2 linked regions of the Kluyveromyces lactis genome follow. The main gene of each other region encodes a partner of the protein of the gene in region 2 in a complex. Links are inferred from orthologs where the notes say so. Each region holds a gene or a part of one and is shown on either strand. Other genes may lie near its edges. The genes, in order: COX6 and KLLA0_F03641g.

The links.
Region 1: the proteins of KLLA0_F03641g (region 2) and COX6 are in contact, whole or in part, in a cryo-EM structure (PDB 8C8Q), measured with the Schizosaccharomyces pombe proteins. The link is inferred for Kluyveromyces lactis from reciprocal best matches to the Schizosaccharomyces pombe genes cox5 and cox6. Residues at the interface, in NP_588158.2 of Schizosaccharomyces pombe: Gln74, Lys75, Gln76, Pro77, Trp78, Thr79, Ile83, Lys86, Lys87, Ala89, Tyr90, Ala93, Phe94, Arg100; in NP_593931.1 of Schizosaccharomyces pombe: Ala90, Arg91, Asn94, Asp95, Phe96, Pro97, Thr98, Ala99, Val100, Arg101, Glu104, Glu129, Leu130, Gly131, Ile132, Val133, Lys135, Leu138, Phe139.

The regions. Positions count from the first base shown.
Region 1 is NC_006042.1:2,033,217-2,041,865, reverse strand, and holds COX6 (cytochrome c oxidase subunit VI), read left to right. Parts: upstream 1-4,801; coding exon 4,802-5,245; downstream 5,246-8,649. Other genes in the region: YPP1 (Ypp1p), read right to left, coding at 1-1,715; TMA22 (Tma22p), read right to left, coding at 2,148-2,750; ELF1 (Elf1p), read right to left, coding at 6,183-6,698; CIC1 (Cic1p), read left to right, coding at 7,601-8,649. UniProt on the Schizosaccharomyces pombe protein: Component of the cytochrome c oxidase, the last enzyme in the mitochondrial electron transport chain which drives oxidative phosphorylation.
Region 2 is NC_006042.1:343,000-351,950, forward strand, and holds KLLA0_F03641g (cytochrome c oxidase subunit IV family protein), read left to right. Parts: upstream 1-3,255; coding exon 3,256-3,256; intron 3,257-3,760; coding exon 3,761-4,212; downstream 4,213-8,951. Other genes in the region: HOS4 (Hos4p), read left to right, coding at 1-2,653; HPM1 (protein-histidine N-methyltransferase), read left to right, coding at 5,138-6,244; Golgi transport complex subunit COG5, read left to right, coding at 6,422-7,594; KLLA0_F03707g (uncharacterized protein), read right to left, coding at 7,640-8,461; KLLA0_F03729g (uncharacterized protein), read right to left, coding at 8,717-8,951. UniProt on the Schizosaccharomyces pombe protein: Component of the cytochrome c oxidase, the last enzyme in the mitochondrial electron transport chain which drives oxidative phosphorylation.

The sequences.
Region 1 (8,649 bases), about 1.7 Mb from region 2:
ACATATTTTGAAGTTACGTTCTTAAACTCATCTAACGCAGCCTTTACATTTTCGATATCGTCATTTTCCAGGTATAATTCCAATGCAAACAACCAAATCTTCTGCAATAGATAGTCGTTACTCTGATTGATTTGAGGACCAAGGGGTTCTGAAGCATCTGAAAAGAGACGCTGATAAAGTTCGAATACCTCTGGCAAAATTTCAAGTGCATCTTCAAGTGCAAACATGTCTCTAACTAGTTGAAGTTGAGTTAATTTAATGTGAATAAACTGCCATTTTTCATCAATTGTGAATTGCCTGCCTTCATCGAAAAGTTCACACATTGATTGAATGACAGAATTGATAATTTTGAAACTTACTTGTAAATCTTCATTGATGCAGGATTCACATAACGCAAGAAGATGCCAACTAGCGAAATGTTCTGGATGAAGTGTTAATATTTGTTTTTTTAGATAAGCGATGCATTGGTCAATTTGTCTTAATGTAGCCAAATGATAAGCGAACTTAAACTTTAATGACACAGAAGCGTTCAAAGACGTTTGCAAAGAATTCGATAGGTAAAATATCTGACTGTGATCTACCAAGGCTGGGAGAGAAGAAGCGCTAGTTTCGTATAACGTTTCCCATGAACTGGATAGAACAGAAGCTGTTGATGAGGCTAGACATAAGTCCAATACATCTGAGCTGCCTTCTAGTGCCTTTTGTTTTTCTATAATAGGGATACTGTACTTGTTGTGAATTCTTTCTAGCAACTTTAAGAAATCGGATGATACGTTTGCTGGCATGAAGAACGGTTCAAATGGCGTTTTACATGTAGACAGAATGAATTGGTACGATGAAACTAAGTCTAATAAGTCAGGATACCTTTTGTTAAGTTCGTAATATTTGTTTGAATAATTGACCAAATTGGTAAAGTTTAGAATGCTCCTCTTTAGATCGACCTTTCGATAAAAGAGCATTGCTGATTTTGCAACCGAAATACTTTGGAAACTTTTTTCCATACTATCAATGATAAATTGCTCCCATTCTTTCTTCACATTTAAATTATTTATTTTGAGATGCTCTTGTAGGACCATGTGGAATTGTTCTAGTTCAAAATTATTTGATTCATCAGCATTAGGGAAACGACTTTTCTTCAATAATGAATGGCTATAAGATAGAAGATTTGAGTCAGTTGCAGAACCATTAAGGGTCAAAAGCATCCATTGGAATGGTGTTTTTGGCTTAAAATGAGAGAGGTCCAGCCCTTTTATTATTGCCTGCAAATAATGCCAAGTTAAGCCATCAGAATATTTCGGAATAGTCCAGCTTTCAGAGGAAAACTCAGCTAAGTCGACATTTCCCTTATAAAATAGCCTTTCCAAATCTAGCATTCTTCCAAATCTATCGTATCCATTAACGCTGCCTAACTTCTTAGAGACGTACTGCAACCCCTTTTCCTTTTCATCAAGTTCACAGAAAACAATACCATAGATATTGTCCGCAATTGCACAGTGTAATTCATCCTTTAGAACGGGCAACTTCTCCACTTCAGATAAAAGGGCCGACAGTGCACTGAATTTTGTCTTTGTAGAAATGTTTATGTGATAATGGGCTCTATAATGAAGAGATAATAATTGATCCAGCAAAGCATCTGACGATTGAAAAACGCTTGAACCAATTAGTCGAGAATCTAAAGCATGATTCACCGAATCATCAATGTATCCTCTGGTCATAGTACAATTGACTTCCGAATGCTTCCGTGATTCAACCAATTGGTAAGCAAATACAAGAGTGCTCAGTGTATTACTCAAGGCTCTTTCTCTTGTTTACTCTCTGTGCTCGGTGAAAATAGCTTTTAGTTTATTTTACATTTTGACATGTTTCCTCACCATCTAACGGTGCATAATGGAAGTGGAAGTGAAGAAAAAGTGATCTTACCCGGATATTCTTTTGTAAGGTATTGCCCTTCCTCACCATGGGAGTATATTTATGGGAACCTAATAGCTACTACAGTTATTATATATGAGGGTATAGATATAGCATCTTACTGATGTTTAATTGTGCAGTTTGTTGAACGATGAATGCGGTATTATATAAATCTTTCTACCTAAGAGGCTAACATAAAGTTATGACAAAAGGGTGTCAGCTAAATGTGCTTCTCATAATCATTTCTTATTTTCGGATCCTGGTGTAGTTGTAGTTTCAGCTTTTTTCTTCTTCTTCGCGGCATCGATTACTTCTACCTTAACTTCTTTCATACCTTTTTCCTCTAGTAAAGAATGTATATATGCTTCTACTTCATCTGCCAAATCACCTTGAACAATCACTTCTTCTTTCTTCTCGGCATTTTTGGAGATAGAACAACCTGTAGCAAATTTGGATGCAAAAGTTTTGGAAAGTTTCTTCATGTCAATTTCGAAAACTTCTAGTCCAGAGATAGCAATCATACACTTCCGTTTTGTTCTTGCTTCTCTTCTGATCACAACTTTAGACGATAATTTCTTAGCCAATTCTCTTTCCTCTCTAGCCTGTTGTTTTCTTTCTAGTTTCTCTAGGGCCTTTTCAAGCTTCTCCTCTCTTTCATCACCAATAGATGATTCTGCCAATTGTTTAGACACATCTTCAGTGACATCGCCATACCATTTGGTGTACAATTCTGGGTGGTTTTCTTGTAACCAAGCTTTACAACGTTTGAATTTACCGGAAAATTCACAGTATTCAGCAGGAAAGTCACACACACCACAGTATATAACGTTAGTGAGAGGCATTCTGTATATTCTTCTGTCTCTTTAATTAATTCTAACGTATAAATCTCAAACTGAATCAAGCGTAACTTAATTACACGTAATGTTATTCTGAACACACCTCATCTCATGCATTAGTGATTTTCTGTTTCAATATTTTTTTCAATATTTCACTGTAAAGATCGATTCACTTTCTTCAGTAACTACGTAATCTACTACTTACATATACTAAGTGTTTACTTAGACATGCACAAATAGCGGCGAACTTTGGTTACACTCACACTGAATACACTTCTTTGGAATGGCAACGTATGATGATTTTGCTACTGATACTGTAATAATAACGTCAAAGACAAAGGACGTGTGCTCCAAGCCCTTGTTTGATGAGATCGTAAATAAGGTGCAAGAATGTGTGGTGGATACTCGACAGATTTACGGTGCGGATGCCGTGCGTGTCATTACACTTCCTGGATTCAAGAGAATATTGGTAACATCGCCTAATATTGAGGCGAGCCGTGAAGTGAAATCCTTGAACCCATTATTCCCTGATTGTAAATTTGGGTTCTCCATCACGAATCACGTGGCTGAATCGAATTCACAAGCTGGATTTCCACACGCTGGCGCTGACACTGTGATGAATCACCTTAAAGTTCCCCCTGCCCAGACATTATTTCTAGTGTCTCCGCCAGCGTCACCTCCTCCGGGATTTGATTACTCTAGGCTTGAAGAATGGCCTAATCGTAACACGGGACATGAAGAGGCTGGTGCAGGTATCGACGATGATTCAAAACCTGCTGTTCGAAAAGTGTTTGACAATGGACATACCCGAATAATAGTTGAGGGGTCTACAAACTCTGAACCAAACCATACGGCTTTGATGCAACATATCAAGACCGCGATGCCACCTATCTCAACGTTTGACGATATAGAGGATTAACTATCGCGTTTAGAGACATAATAACCCGCAGTTTTCTGCGGAGATGAGGGATCGAACAGGGGAACCTGCCTACCGAGAAAAAAAAAACCTTTGAAACCACGCGACTTCCGGGTAATTGTATTTGTATTGAAGTCACGTTCTCCCGCTGTCCTATTACCCGACTATGTGGTAAAAATCATCGGTGACGAACCAATCATATGCCAATACGTTCTCCTTCCCCACAAACAAGACACCCTACAGAACGGTCGGACCAGTCTCAATCAATGCCCATTACCCCCCAGCATATTTCACGAATGTGTTTTATTGGATTCTATAGATACTGCTTGTGGGGTTTATTATCACGGACTTATTATCTTGTTTTATAGGACATTATTTCGAAGATTATGAGAGTTAAGGTTTCATTTCCTTTGAACATGAGATCTTTAATCTGACATCGCTCGACTGAAAAATGACAGGCAGCAGAAAGTCAAGAAATACTCAATTCAAATAATTAAAATCGAACTAGATAAACGACTTGCTCGTAAGTACCACATGTAGGATTTTTTGGAGTGTGAACTTTTGTTGCAACTCTGCCGATGAATTATGTTAGCCCTCTTTTTTTCTTCCATCCATTTTCCATAGACACACTATTTAAAAAACTGATAATACCACTTTTTTGTAAACTACTAAGAAGATGATGCATACAAAGAATAAGATACAATAAAAGTTGTTTCGAATGGAACGACTCACTCGAGGTTCAAATTTGTGCTATTCGTTTCGCAAGTTATTACTCTTACTTTCCTTTTAACAATCTCGTTTTTATCTAGTTCAAAGACGTAGCTATCCACTAGTTTAAGTATTTGAACTGTTTGTTGATATTTGTCCTATGCGATTTTAAGTATTTAATTTTTTTTTTTTCATTCTTCATTACTTCAAATTTTTAAAAAAACTCCAGAGAAAATTATCGGTCGATTTACCTTTTACCTAACCTATTTGATATATCTTTAAAGCGTTTTACATTAAGTTTTAATTACAATAGAACTCGACTTTGAATCTTTTGTGAATACGGTTTGTTATAATTCCTTTTAGAATAGCTATTTGATCATCTTAATACAGTGAATCAAATCCAAATCCCGAATCAACCAATACAAAGAAAAATATGTTGTCCAGAACTTTGTTGAGAGCTGCTATGCCAGTAAGAGCCGTTGCTCCGGTTATGATGAGAGCTGCTGTTGCCCCAAGAGTTGGTCAATTACAATCTCAATTTGTTTCTATCAGAAAGTACTCCGATGCACACGAAGAAGAAACCTTTGAAGAATTCACCGCCAGATACGAAAAGGAATTCGAAGAGGCTTACGATTTATTCGAAGTCCAAAGAGTGTTGAATAACTGTTTCTCTTACGATTTGGTTCCAGCCCCAGCTGTTATCGAAAAGGCCTTGAGAGCCGCCAGAAAGGTTAACGACTTGCCAACTGCTGTCAGAGTGTTCGAAGCCTTGAGATACAAAGTTGAAAACGAAGATCAATACAAGGCTTACTTGGATGAATTGAAGGATGTTAGAGAAGAATTGGGAATTCCTTTGAAGGAGGAATTGTTCCAATAAGTGCATATAGAAGAACATTTAATCTAAAGTCACCGGCTTTATCATCTTCTCCCATACTATTTTCACTTTTTGAGAACCTTTCACTAGGAAGGAAAGAACAATACTTATCCACAACACCAACAACCAAATGAAACCAAAATAAATATCATCAAAAACTATATTTACGAACGTGTCCCATCCTATGACACCATATATTCTTGTCACACATTTGTTTGTTTGAGGAGGTTTTTTTGGTGCTGACTACTGGTAGTAGCAGATACGAAGACATTATTTATTTGCCAGGACATATACAGAACCGTGAATACAAACCTTCAAGAAACATTTACAAACAATTCAAATAAAATCAAGATTATTATTATTATTATTATTATCATCATCATCACAATTATTATAATTATATATATGTTATACTGACTAAATTATAAGGAAAAGTAGTTATATATCAAACAAACAGCTATTAACATACGCGTTTAGTCTATTTAGCGGTAGACAGAAAAATGTGCTCTTTTGTTTTCACTTGATCGTATGTTAGGTTATTGCACCGTTACGAGCAGAAGTAATTTTATCTTGTTTGAATTCATACAACTGAAGTTTTCGAGTTTTGTTATCTCGTGTATCACCATCTAGTTCAGAAATAATGCCACATTACTGAGAAGTTCGATATACCAAAGATACTATTATTGATGTAGAATTGATATATAAATTCTTCTGCAGTACAAACTGAATACTATCAACCGATGGTTAAAGCCAAGGTGAGCGTTATATAAATTCTTATAGGAAACAGATAAGATCCAGCAATCTCTTTGAACGTAAATATCAGCTCCTTTATACCTGATTTTATTCGTTCTACTAGTATATCTCTGGGTAATATATAGATAGATAGATACAATTGTAAGATTAATATTGGTGTTCGATGTCTGTGTTTCTGTCGGTTCGACTACTCGTCATCACTGTCCATCCATGCTGCTCTTCCTCTTTTGTTAGATATTTTACCGTCATCGTCTGAGTCTGATTCTGGTTCTGAGTCTTTTCGTTCGGTCGCTCCTTTTCTTCCGTAATCCGCATCTTCGTCTTCTTCTTGTTCTTCTTCTTCTTCTTCGTCAGAATCTATTCCAACAGCTTTTCTACGGTTTGAAGAAGGCTCAGTATCAGAGTCACTCTCGTAGTCACTGTCACTGTTTTCATCTTCAGATTCGCTATGTTTCCCTTCGTTAACTTCCTCAACCGCATCAAACCAGTCACTATATACATCTACCGGTTGTGATAGACCATTAATGCGGGTTTGGAACGATTGTCCACAAATCTTACAATGAAGCGAGCCAATGTTATTCTTTTTGTCCATTGTTACGCTCACAGAGCGTTCGTGATTACAGAAGAGACAATTGAATGCCGTATCTAACCTCTGTACTATCTTCTTGGCTGGACCTCTGGATGACTTCTTTCTCTTACCCATGTCTAATGCTCTTCTTATTTGTCTTGTGAGAGCGTATGCTTACCCCTGCGGCTAGATTTGATTAATATATGCTAATATGCCTTTTGCAGTATAAATGAACGGGGACGATGACTATGTTTACGATATAATAATAATAATAATAATAATAGCAACTTAATAACTCATAAATCAGATTCGTGCGGCGTATTCTCTGTTAAGGTATCCTTTATATCGATCGTGAGTCCTGTTTGACAGCCGAAAAAACCTAACTCAAAAATAGTACTGTTCCGAAATAAACCAGAGAAAGAAACCCTAAAATACACAGTTTAAGCCCTTTTGTATTGTAACCCCATTCACTGAACGTAGCCCGTTGCTCATTAGTAACTTTTGCACAAACACGCACCGAGATTCAATATCAGATTCGGTTACTCTTTATTTCTTAAGTGTCAAATGTTATCAAATTTCAAGAAAAGTTTCAAATCATATATTACGGCCTTCGCTTTCAAAAAGCAATATTTACTAACTACGTGAACACAGTGGAGCTCCTGCGAAACAGAAAATTTTTATTTTTGACAATAGAGAGCTCATCTCATCATAGCTCATCTCATCTCATCTCGAAGTATGTTGCACACCTAACACGATTAATAAAGTAATGGTATGTAAAGTATTTAAGTACCTATTCTTATTTCTCAGCTCAAAGGATTGATTAGATATATACTGGATATTTCATAGTTGCCAGTACGAACTCGAGAAGTAAGCTTACCTAGGTGAACCAACAATTTGTTGATCTTTTTCTGAGACAGTGCGAATCAAGTAAGTTAAAAAACGCTTGGAAAGAATCCAGAATATAGAGGAAATAACTCCACTCATCCAGTCTAGTATATCTACAAGCACATTATAAGCAATATCAAAGTTTAGATAATATGGCAACTAAAACTAAGAAAAGCAAGGTTTCGACCAAAGCCACCAAGGCTACTAAGGGCAGTAAAGAGGAAGAAGTCATTCCAGTTAACAGAGTTAACAATGCTGTTATTAAATTGCAAGAATATTTGAAGGAAAATGGATCAAATGACAATCAGTTAATTGATGATTCTGAATTGGAGGCTCAGCTACAGTTGATCCTAGTCAACACTGAATCTTTTACTGGTTCTTTGAAAAACTTCAAACCAAAACTAATTACAGTTCCTCATTCTATCTTCAAGCCATGGAAGGAAGCTAGCACCACCATGGTTAAAGATTTCAAGACTCTTTTGATTCTAAAAGATTCTGATATCAATTCAGTGACATCAGAAGACTTGATCGATCTACTTCCAGAACATATTACTATTGATGCCATCATATCTGGTAAAGATTTGAAGACAAAATACAAGGCTTTTGAAAAGAGGCGTGCATTTGTACAGGATTTTTCTTTCATTCTAGCTGATGACTCGATAGTGACAGCTTTGCCCAAGCTATTAGGTGGTAAAGCATACAGTAAGTTGAATACCACTCCAATTGCCATTAACACAAGATCGGATAACAAGTTTAACAAGACAACTTTGGTAAATAGCATCAAGAGAATTTATGATACTAAAATCCCAGTCAAACTTCCAAGAGGTAACACGATGAATGTTCATCTAGGTTCATTGGAATGGTTCACCCCAGAACAATTGACTGAAAATATCATTTCTGTCGCTAAACAGTTCATCGAAAAGTACAATATCAGAACCATTCTTCTCAAATCTAACGAATCACCAGTCCTTCCATTATACGTTAATTTGGAAGTATTAGACAAATTGGTTGGGTCCAGACATGATGCTAAGACTTCCGTTCAAAATGTCATAGAAATTGATGGTGTCGAATTGCAACTATCACAATTTGAGAAATCTTTGTTAGAAATTGCAAATCCAGACGAACTAGACTCCTTGTTTGCTACGCAAATTAAGCAAGCCAAAAGAAACTTGGAAGAGGTCGAGGCAGAAGAAGAGCAAGA
Region 2 (8,951 bases):
CGTTAGCCAAGCAAACAGCTCTGACCAGAAAGTTGGATCTCCTTTGAATAATCAAGAGTCAATACCGGTGAGACAAGCGGAAACGAAAGGACCTATTAATGAAATAAAACAGGAAACGGATGTAGAAGAAAAGAAAAATCTACCGAAAGTAGGGAGAAATAAGCATTCTGACGAAGAATATAGTAGTGCACTCAGTGAAGTTGAAAGTGACGCACCGACAGAGCCTGCATCGCCACCAAGACCAAAAATGGGGAGACTAATACGAGGTGATCAACTTGAAAGCGGAAACAACAGTCGACAATCAAGTGCTCCAGTATTGACAAATGATGGGGAATCCGATTCTGATCTTTCCGATTTAGATGAGGCTCGTACAGCTAAAATATCAAGCAGTGCGATTCACGAAGATTCCTCTCCGGTGAAACATTATAATGAACACAAGCGCAAATCCTCTAGTATAGAAAACTCCTCCAATCACAAGAAGCAAAAACATTCTGCCGGGAAAAAGATACCGAAGACTAAGCGTGGAGTACATAGGGATGCCGGAGGCAGGACAAAACTACAAATTGCTTGTGATAAAGGCAAATATGATTTGGCAAAAAAACTTATTGAAGAAGACGGCTATGACGTTAACGACCAAGACAACGCTGGAAATACGCCACTACACGAAGCAGCTCTAAATGGTCATTCAGCAATTGTCGAGTTGCTCGTAAGAAATGGAGCTAATGTTAATATTCAATCATATGATATGTTTCTAGATACGCCTCTTATTGATGCTTCCGCGAATGGCCACATAAATGTTGTAAAATATCTTCTAGATCACGGAGCAGATCCAACAATGGTAAATGCCAAAGGTCTAAGTGCAATTGAATCTATTGAGGAGGAATCAGACATGGATAATGATGATAGAAGAATAGTGCACGATATGAAAGATATGTTAAAGAGAGCAACGAGGAAATATATAAAACATTCCCATCGCACCTTACAGTCTAGTTCCATGTCAAGACATTCAGATGATATAGACAAACAACTCAACCATGATGACGACTTTTATTGGACTGATATCAGTTCAAAATTGGGTAAAAACAAGCTTTTGAAAGCTTCCAAAGAGGGGAAATTAGCATACGTCGGTTCGTACCTTGAAAACGGTGGTAGACCTGATTTCAGATGTTTCCTTGAGAGTTGCATATATGGTCATGATGACGTAGTAAGTTTATTTTTAGCCTTTGGCGCACAAGTTAATATGAGTAACAAAGAAGGTCAAACTCCGTTGATGCTATCTGTCGGGCGTGGACATGTCAACGTCGTGAAACTTTTACTCGAAGCCGGGGCGGATCCACAGAAAACTGACAAACGAAAGAAAACTGCCTTGCATTATGCTAACCACAGCTCTCTTGGTCTAACGGATCCTGATGAAGTGAATTTACTCAAAGCAGCGGTGAGGGCAAAATATGGATACGAAGTTTCAAACAACAGCGATGAAGAGGGGGAGGAAGATTCTGAAGGGAAATCTCCTTCACCTAGAGAAATATCGTCAATTCCATCCACCAAAGGAGAAGAGCAAGATCGTTCTTTGGAAATTCGTAAAGATGATAGTCCTTATCATTCAGAACCACAATCTAAAATCGGAAATATCAATGAGGAAAAGCCAAAATTATTACCTGATTCTCAAACGACAGCAGAAACTGCTTCCCTAGTCAGGCCAAGTCTAGAGAGACTAGACTCAACAAAATCAACATCTTCAACATCATTAACTCATCGTTATAAAAGTGCATCTCCTACACATCAACTATCCACTCCGCCTATTCTTCCGAAAGAAAGCGAAGAAGAGAGAGCCGCAAGGTTGAAGAGCGAAGAAGAGTACAGGCAAAAGAGACTGCAACAGAAGAAAAGGAAAGAACAGGAATTCTTAAACAGATTAGCTGAAGATGAACGGAAGAGAGTAGAAGAGAAGGAGAAATTGAAGCAACAGGAGGAACAGAGGCTAGAACAGGCCAAGAAAGAGGAACTATTAAAAGAAGAAGAACTTCGAAACAGAAACGAAGTAGAAAAAAGATTAAAGATCAGAGAGCGTTATCCAATTGGATTGAGAGTCATTGATTTCAAAGATCTTGAGAATTACGATAAATTTGGGCCTGTGTACTACTTCACTGAAGATGGATCAAAATGGGTGCTAGATCTTCAAATAAGTGTCATTATCAAATCCAGCACCGAAGAGTTAAAGAAACAATCATCAGAATTTAAAGAAGTGGAAAAGGGTCAGTACCCACAACTATGGAATCTTTTCAAATTCATCTTCTTATATGGCGGCAGCGATAATGCAAACAACTCGAAGTCCTTGCCCTGGAGGCAATTGTCGGAAATTGACCAAACAGAGTATGTAAAATTCTATGAACTCCCACTAACATGGATTAAACTATCGCGATTGAACCTGCAAGATTTAAACCCAAAGATGAATGACTGGATTGAAAAAAATATGATAGAATTTATCCCGGCATCTACATCTGCCTTGTACAGAACAAGAAAGGTCCTTTTACGTGATAGCAAAAGACCTGGCCAAAACGAAAATAATGCTAACACACGCTTTGTCCCTGCCAAATATCAATCACGCTCCAAAATGTTACCATGGTTGAATGCCTCCAAAGCGCTTTGGTAGGGTCATTATACATAGCATAAGAAGCTTAACACTGTAACAATACATAAGAAAAGATAGAAGAAGAACGTCTTCCTCGGAAAATAGAAGTCACGTGGATTTTATATACACGTGACTCGGACCTTTGCAGATGATTTTCCACGCCCTTCATTCATCACTTCCCCAACCCGTACTATGCGACTGTCTTTCCGGGAACATGATTGGCCAGAGTCTGATTTAGTAACGTTAAATCCGAAAAAAAGTTCCATCTCGTATGAAATGACCTAAAACACACCATCATATCATAAACCTTCGATTCTCCTTCGAGATAAACAATAGAGTAGAAAAAAAAACTGTTACCAGCCATTTTTCTTCGAAGCGTTTTCTTGTTAGCGTTTTTTTTTTCGGCCCACTTCCGTTGGTGCTATTCACCTTTTATAATGGAGAAACATGAAAAAAAAAGCTGTAAATTTTTCATATAATTTAAATAAAAGATAAAATATAAAGCTGATTTTAGCTAGTTTCACAGATTTGAACATTGTTTTGGTATAGTTTCTCTAATTTATTCCAAGGGTTTTCTTGTTTGATATTAGTATTCACAACTAGCGGCCAAAGATTTTATAAAGAGTATGTGCACCGTAAGACGTAACATAATCAGGGGATTGCGAATGGGAATTTTCAATAAGGAACAAATGCGAACTGGAGTTTCCGGAGATAATGGATAAAATCATAAGAAGAACGATTTAAGAGATGTTCTAATTATCATCCCGATGAATAAGGTGGTATAGTCATACCTGATCAGGTTTAAAGTTTTAAATGGATTGGTTGTTTTTTAGTGGATTTGGTTCCTATAAGGGTTTTTATCCATTATCTGTATTTGGTCATGGAGAAAGAAATGGCATTTTGAGAATTCAACATAATAATGATTGTAACTCAGCTGTAAAAGAAGGGATCATGTTTTTCAAGACCAGAATTGATATTTAAACTCTTACTTATTCCACTTGCAATTATCGTCTGATTTTTTTCAGTACAAAGAATCTTATTTTTACTAACAACGATTAAACTGGAAAATGATGGGAAAAATATGTTTTTTCCTTATTGAATCATTTTCAATGTTATTATTACCAACAGTGTTGCGTTCCTCCGTTTCTAGAGTTGCCCGTGTCACTCCTGTCAGATTTGCTCAAACACAAGCCCTATCTAAGGCATCTATCGTCGATTTACCAAACAGATGGGAAGACTTGCCAGCTACTGAACAACAAGATATTGTCCTAAAGCTAGCTGAACGTCAAAAGCTACCATGGACTGAGTTGACTAATGTTGAAAAGCAAGCTGCTTGGTACATTTCTTACGGTGCTTGGGGTCCAAGAAGACCAGTGCACGGTAAGGGTGATGCTGCTTTCATTGCCAAGGGTGTTGCTGCTGGTTTGATTGCCTCTTTGCTAATCTTCGCTGGTATAAGACAACTATCTGGTGATCCACCAAAGACTATGACCAAGGAATGGCAATTAAAGTCTGATGAATATTTGAAGTCCAAGAATGCTAACCCATGGGGTGGTTACTCTCAAGTTCAATCCAAATAATTGTGATTTCTTCTACAGTATAGAATGCATTTTCTCCCTCTCTTCTATTCAGTTTATTTCTATTCTCTACAAACAACAAGAACAAAAAAAAGACACACAGTCGATACTCACCTTCATGATATAGGAGAAGTTCAAACTCTTTCTATTTCCAACTTTTTGAATGGGTTGCGGGTTTTTTTGCGTTTTGTTGAAATTGCAAAACAAGAGCTTTCTTCGGAAGCCTAAACTTGTCCTTTCGCCGTGATTTTGAGAACCACCACACGTTAGAGAATCGAATTTATTTAATATTATTTTATTAACGAAGAATAACATATCCTTCTATCACCATTAAATTAATTCACAATTAAGAATAAAAATCATACCAAACATTTGAATTTGAACCCTATGAAATAGGACTTCTTAGTATCAACATCAAGTTTTAAAAAAATTGAATCCAAAAATTTACACAAACAATATCCAAAGCCAAAAATTAATGATTTATAAACGGACACTTATTTAAATTTGAGAATCATTTCACGTATTCTCTTTACGTTTCATTTATTTTATCGAAATCAATTAAATACATTATTCTATCATTCTGAATTCGAGAATTCTTTTCTTATCCAGGAAAGATTCATTAACATTCTCACTTCGAACTATCAATCCAACAGAAAACCCTTAGCTATTTAAATTTGACTAGAGAAAGGCTGTTTCAAAGTTATAAGCATTTCAACGCACGGTATGTAACAGGCCGTTTATTCTACTAGCATCTGGCTCAAAGCTTGAGAAGGACGATCGCTGACAGGATCACAAACAGGAAACGAAAAGAAAAAATTGAAAATGAAAAATTCAATACAGAAAGCGCATCTCATCTCAACGCATATATTTGGCCAATAGAGGAAATTACTTACAGAGGAAGACACATGTCCTCATAACCCCGATAATAATGTCCTTTGCATTTGGCTTCTCTAACGAAGATTTCAGTGATGATGAACTAGATATTGCCAATCAAAATACAGATGATAAGCCATCTACTTCTGTCCCTCGAATCAATCCATTGGATTCCGAAGTGTTACTAGGAGAATCAGTGAATCAACCCAAATATATTGATCTGGATGATCTACTACGTTCACTCGCGAATGTCCGTCTATCTTTTGAAGAAGTGCAAACTCCAACAACAAACTCTGTTCTTTACAGACGTGAACTATTTGACGTTAAACATCAATTGATGTCAGAAGTGGATTCAGGCACAAATAATGTTGAATTGGAGATTTTGATGGGTGAAACCAATGAAGATTTGAGGAGAAATGTGTACGAAGGTGGTTTGAAATCATGGGAATGTTCAATAGATCTAGTAGACTCATTTGTTAAAAATCCAGCACAAATTTCCCAGTGTCAAAATATAATAGAGCTAGGATGTGGGACGTCGCTTCCATCGGAATTTCTTTTTATGGAATATCTAAGATCCAACATCAATACCGGGATTAATTTCACATTATGTGACTATAATGAAAGTGTGATTAGATTGGTATCCATTCCAAATTTGATCGTATCCTGGGCGAAAACTGTGATCAGTAATGAACAATGGATAGAGCTACAAGCTTCTGAAGATTCGAACATCCCAATCGCCTCTGATGAATTACTTCTGACAGAAAAATTACTTGAAGCTTTCAAGTCTGATTTAGAATTTAGAAATGTATCGTTTTCGTTCATTTCAGGTTCTTGGGGAAGGAAATTCATGGATGTTTTAATTGAACACAAGGCTACCCCGTTATCAAACACCTTAATATTAACCGCAGAAACTATATATCAGCCTGATACGCTCCCGGTTATATCAGAAACCTTAATTGAGCTAATCGTGGATAACAAAAAGAACTCATACCCGGTGAAATGCCTGCTTGCAGCAAAAGACATATATTTCGGCGTTGGGGGCAGCATAGTGGATTTTGAAAACTATATCGCCAAAAGGATAGCAACCGATAACCTTCCATTATGTTTAAATAAATTTAAGGTAAATGCTGGATTGAAAAGATCAATTGTACTAATAGAGTGAATCGCCACGTATGACTCTTTTTAAGGCTTGATCATCAATCACGTGATCAAAATCACTTTGTCGACATTGTCAGATTCATATAATATCGTGTAATTCAATCTTTAAATATAGCTTGCATTAAGCGAATGAGCATCAGCTGTACTATAAGGAGATAACTACTGTACTTAGAACCCCAGAATGGCTCAGAACGATCCACTTCAAGGCTTTGAGGATTTTCTCGAGGCTGATTTTCAGCCATTGCGCTTTGCAAACGATCTATTAAAAGTTACAAATAATGGCACAGATACGGATGTCTTGGACCTGAAGACGTGTGTGAAGAGATGCTCGTATGATCTCCAAGAATTAGACAGAAGAATTGAAGGTGCTATCAAGACCAACCCAAGCCATGTGCTAGAACAAATTGAGAAGAGAAAGAAGGAAAAAAGCTTTGTAGGAGATACTCTCAAATCAAACACGGAATATTTGTCTATGTCGTACAACAGATTACAACAAGACATCTTAGAGCCATTTGAAAGGGCACTTAAACTGCAGACAGTTTCTAGTAAAATTCATCAAACTACAACATTACTGAGAAGTTCCTTAATATATGTGCACATGATATCTCAGTTGCAAATGATGCCATTAGAGACAGACTCTACTGATGATGAGCAACTAGCATGCGGGTTAAAAATAGCTGCCTTACATTCACAATTGAAGATTAATATTGAACAAAATCCCAACCTGGCAACTTTGCAGCTGATAAAATCATGCGAGAACAATGTGGTTTCTCCAAATCGACAGGAATTATTGCGATATCTTTCCACCAATTTGACAAGGGATTGTCTAAACAATCTCAAGATGGAAAACAACCCTAAGAGAATTGTGACTTTAATCAAAGCATTGTATACTTTATCTCCAGTAGATCTTTTTGATACAATTGACAAAGTACTCAGTTCAAAAATTCAAACGACGGCTCAAGTGCTATCTAAGACCATCACATCCATTAGAAACTTCAACCTGTCATTAGATGATGCCATGGAAAATAGAAACTCGATACTCACTTTACAGAACTTAATGGAAGAATGTGAGATTGAAGGAAATACGAACACTCTTCGCAATTACCTATCTCAAAGGAAATTTTCCTCGTTGATCGATCAATTTTGGTCAAAAGTCACTAATAGTTTCAAAAGAGATTTCGAAATGTCCTACAATCGCGGTGGACCTGTCGGGAAATCTCTGCAAAGCAATTCCAATCTAATATATGAAGCCATTAGTAAATGCTTCGGTGAAAATGACCCTAGTAATGAACTACAAGGCGAACTGCAGTATATCTTGAAAGCCGTTAGTATATTAGATACAAACAGGAAATAAAAATCAGGCTTATATTTGTATATATAGAGTAACAAGACTGGTCCTTTATGGTTTAGCCTTCGCCTTACTTATAGCACCTGCATCTGCAAGGGGGTTCGTAGCCTTCTTTTTGTTTTTCTTTCCCCCACGCTTATGGAACTTCTTCTTTAGTAGCTTCTTTATCTCTGAATCTCTTTGCTTCCTCAGATCTTCTCTCTCTTTACCGTGTAATCTTGCCATTCTCTGCCTTTTACCTGGCCTTTTTCTCCGTAAATGCCTGATACGAACCTGCTCTGTGTGGACTTTACGATTATGCTCATCTACATCTATTACTTTTCCTCTGAACTGAAGCCATCCGGGATACGGTCCCAGCTCAGCATATTTTAATATTACATCTGCAGACACTGCGGCTGCAGAAAAGTTATGTCTGTCCTGCTCTGAATATTCTGCACAGTAATACGTTCTTGCTCTACCTATTGGAGCTGAGTCTGGACTCGGTTCACGAAGGCTGACCTTTATTAGGGCCGTTGCCTTTCTACCTCTGTTTTCATCTGTCTGTACACTTTCGCCAACATCATTCGCGGGGGTTGTTGAATCGGTAATGGTTCCAAAAGAGAATAGTGGGAATTCAAACTCTTCTGCGGAATTGTTAACATCCGATTCATCATTTCTGTCCGACTTTATATTGTCTTCTTGTTGAGTTTGAACGTCGACGAATTCTAGATCAAGCTTCGGCAGCACTACACGATCATCAGTCGCTGTAACGTTAGTCGTGGTATCAAAGAGCTCATTTCTCGAAACAACTCTCAAACCAGACATGATTGATTTGTTGAGCTTTGCAAGGTGTTCCTGAGATGATGATGAAAAGATACGCAGATTACATCTCATCTCCTCGTATCGTCATATTTTGACTAACTTTTTGATCTTATATATACATGTATATTTTTTTTAGCATATTGGCAATAGGTGTAAGATGACAGACAGTCGAAAGTAGCCACAGATAGTTTGTAATGACAAACATGTATTCTTATGTTATACATATCACTTGTGTAAGGTTGTGTGCAAAGTAAGATTTTGCTATTTCATGGTTTCAATATCTACATAAAAAATGGTATGTACGCAACTTGGAAGCACCTTTTAAACTTACTTCGAGATTCTTGTCTTCATGTTTTGTAAGAATTCTCTGTAGTTCCAGCTGTTTTGGACCTTATCTTCGACCAACTGAGATGCAGTCCATAATCTTAGAGAAGCAACTTCCCTGGCAGAAGGATGGTTCATTGGTTCACTTGGTGAGGCGCCTCTGACAATGTGCAAGGTTTTGTAGAAGATAACATCATCGTGTTCTCTTATCTTTGTAATAACATTCCTCACTCTTAGG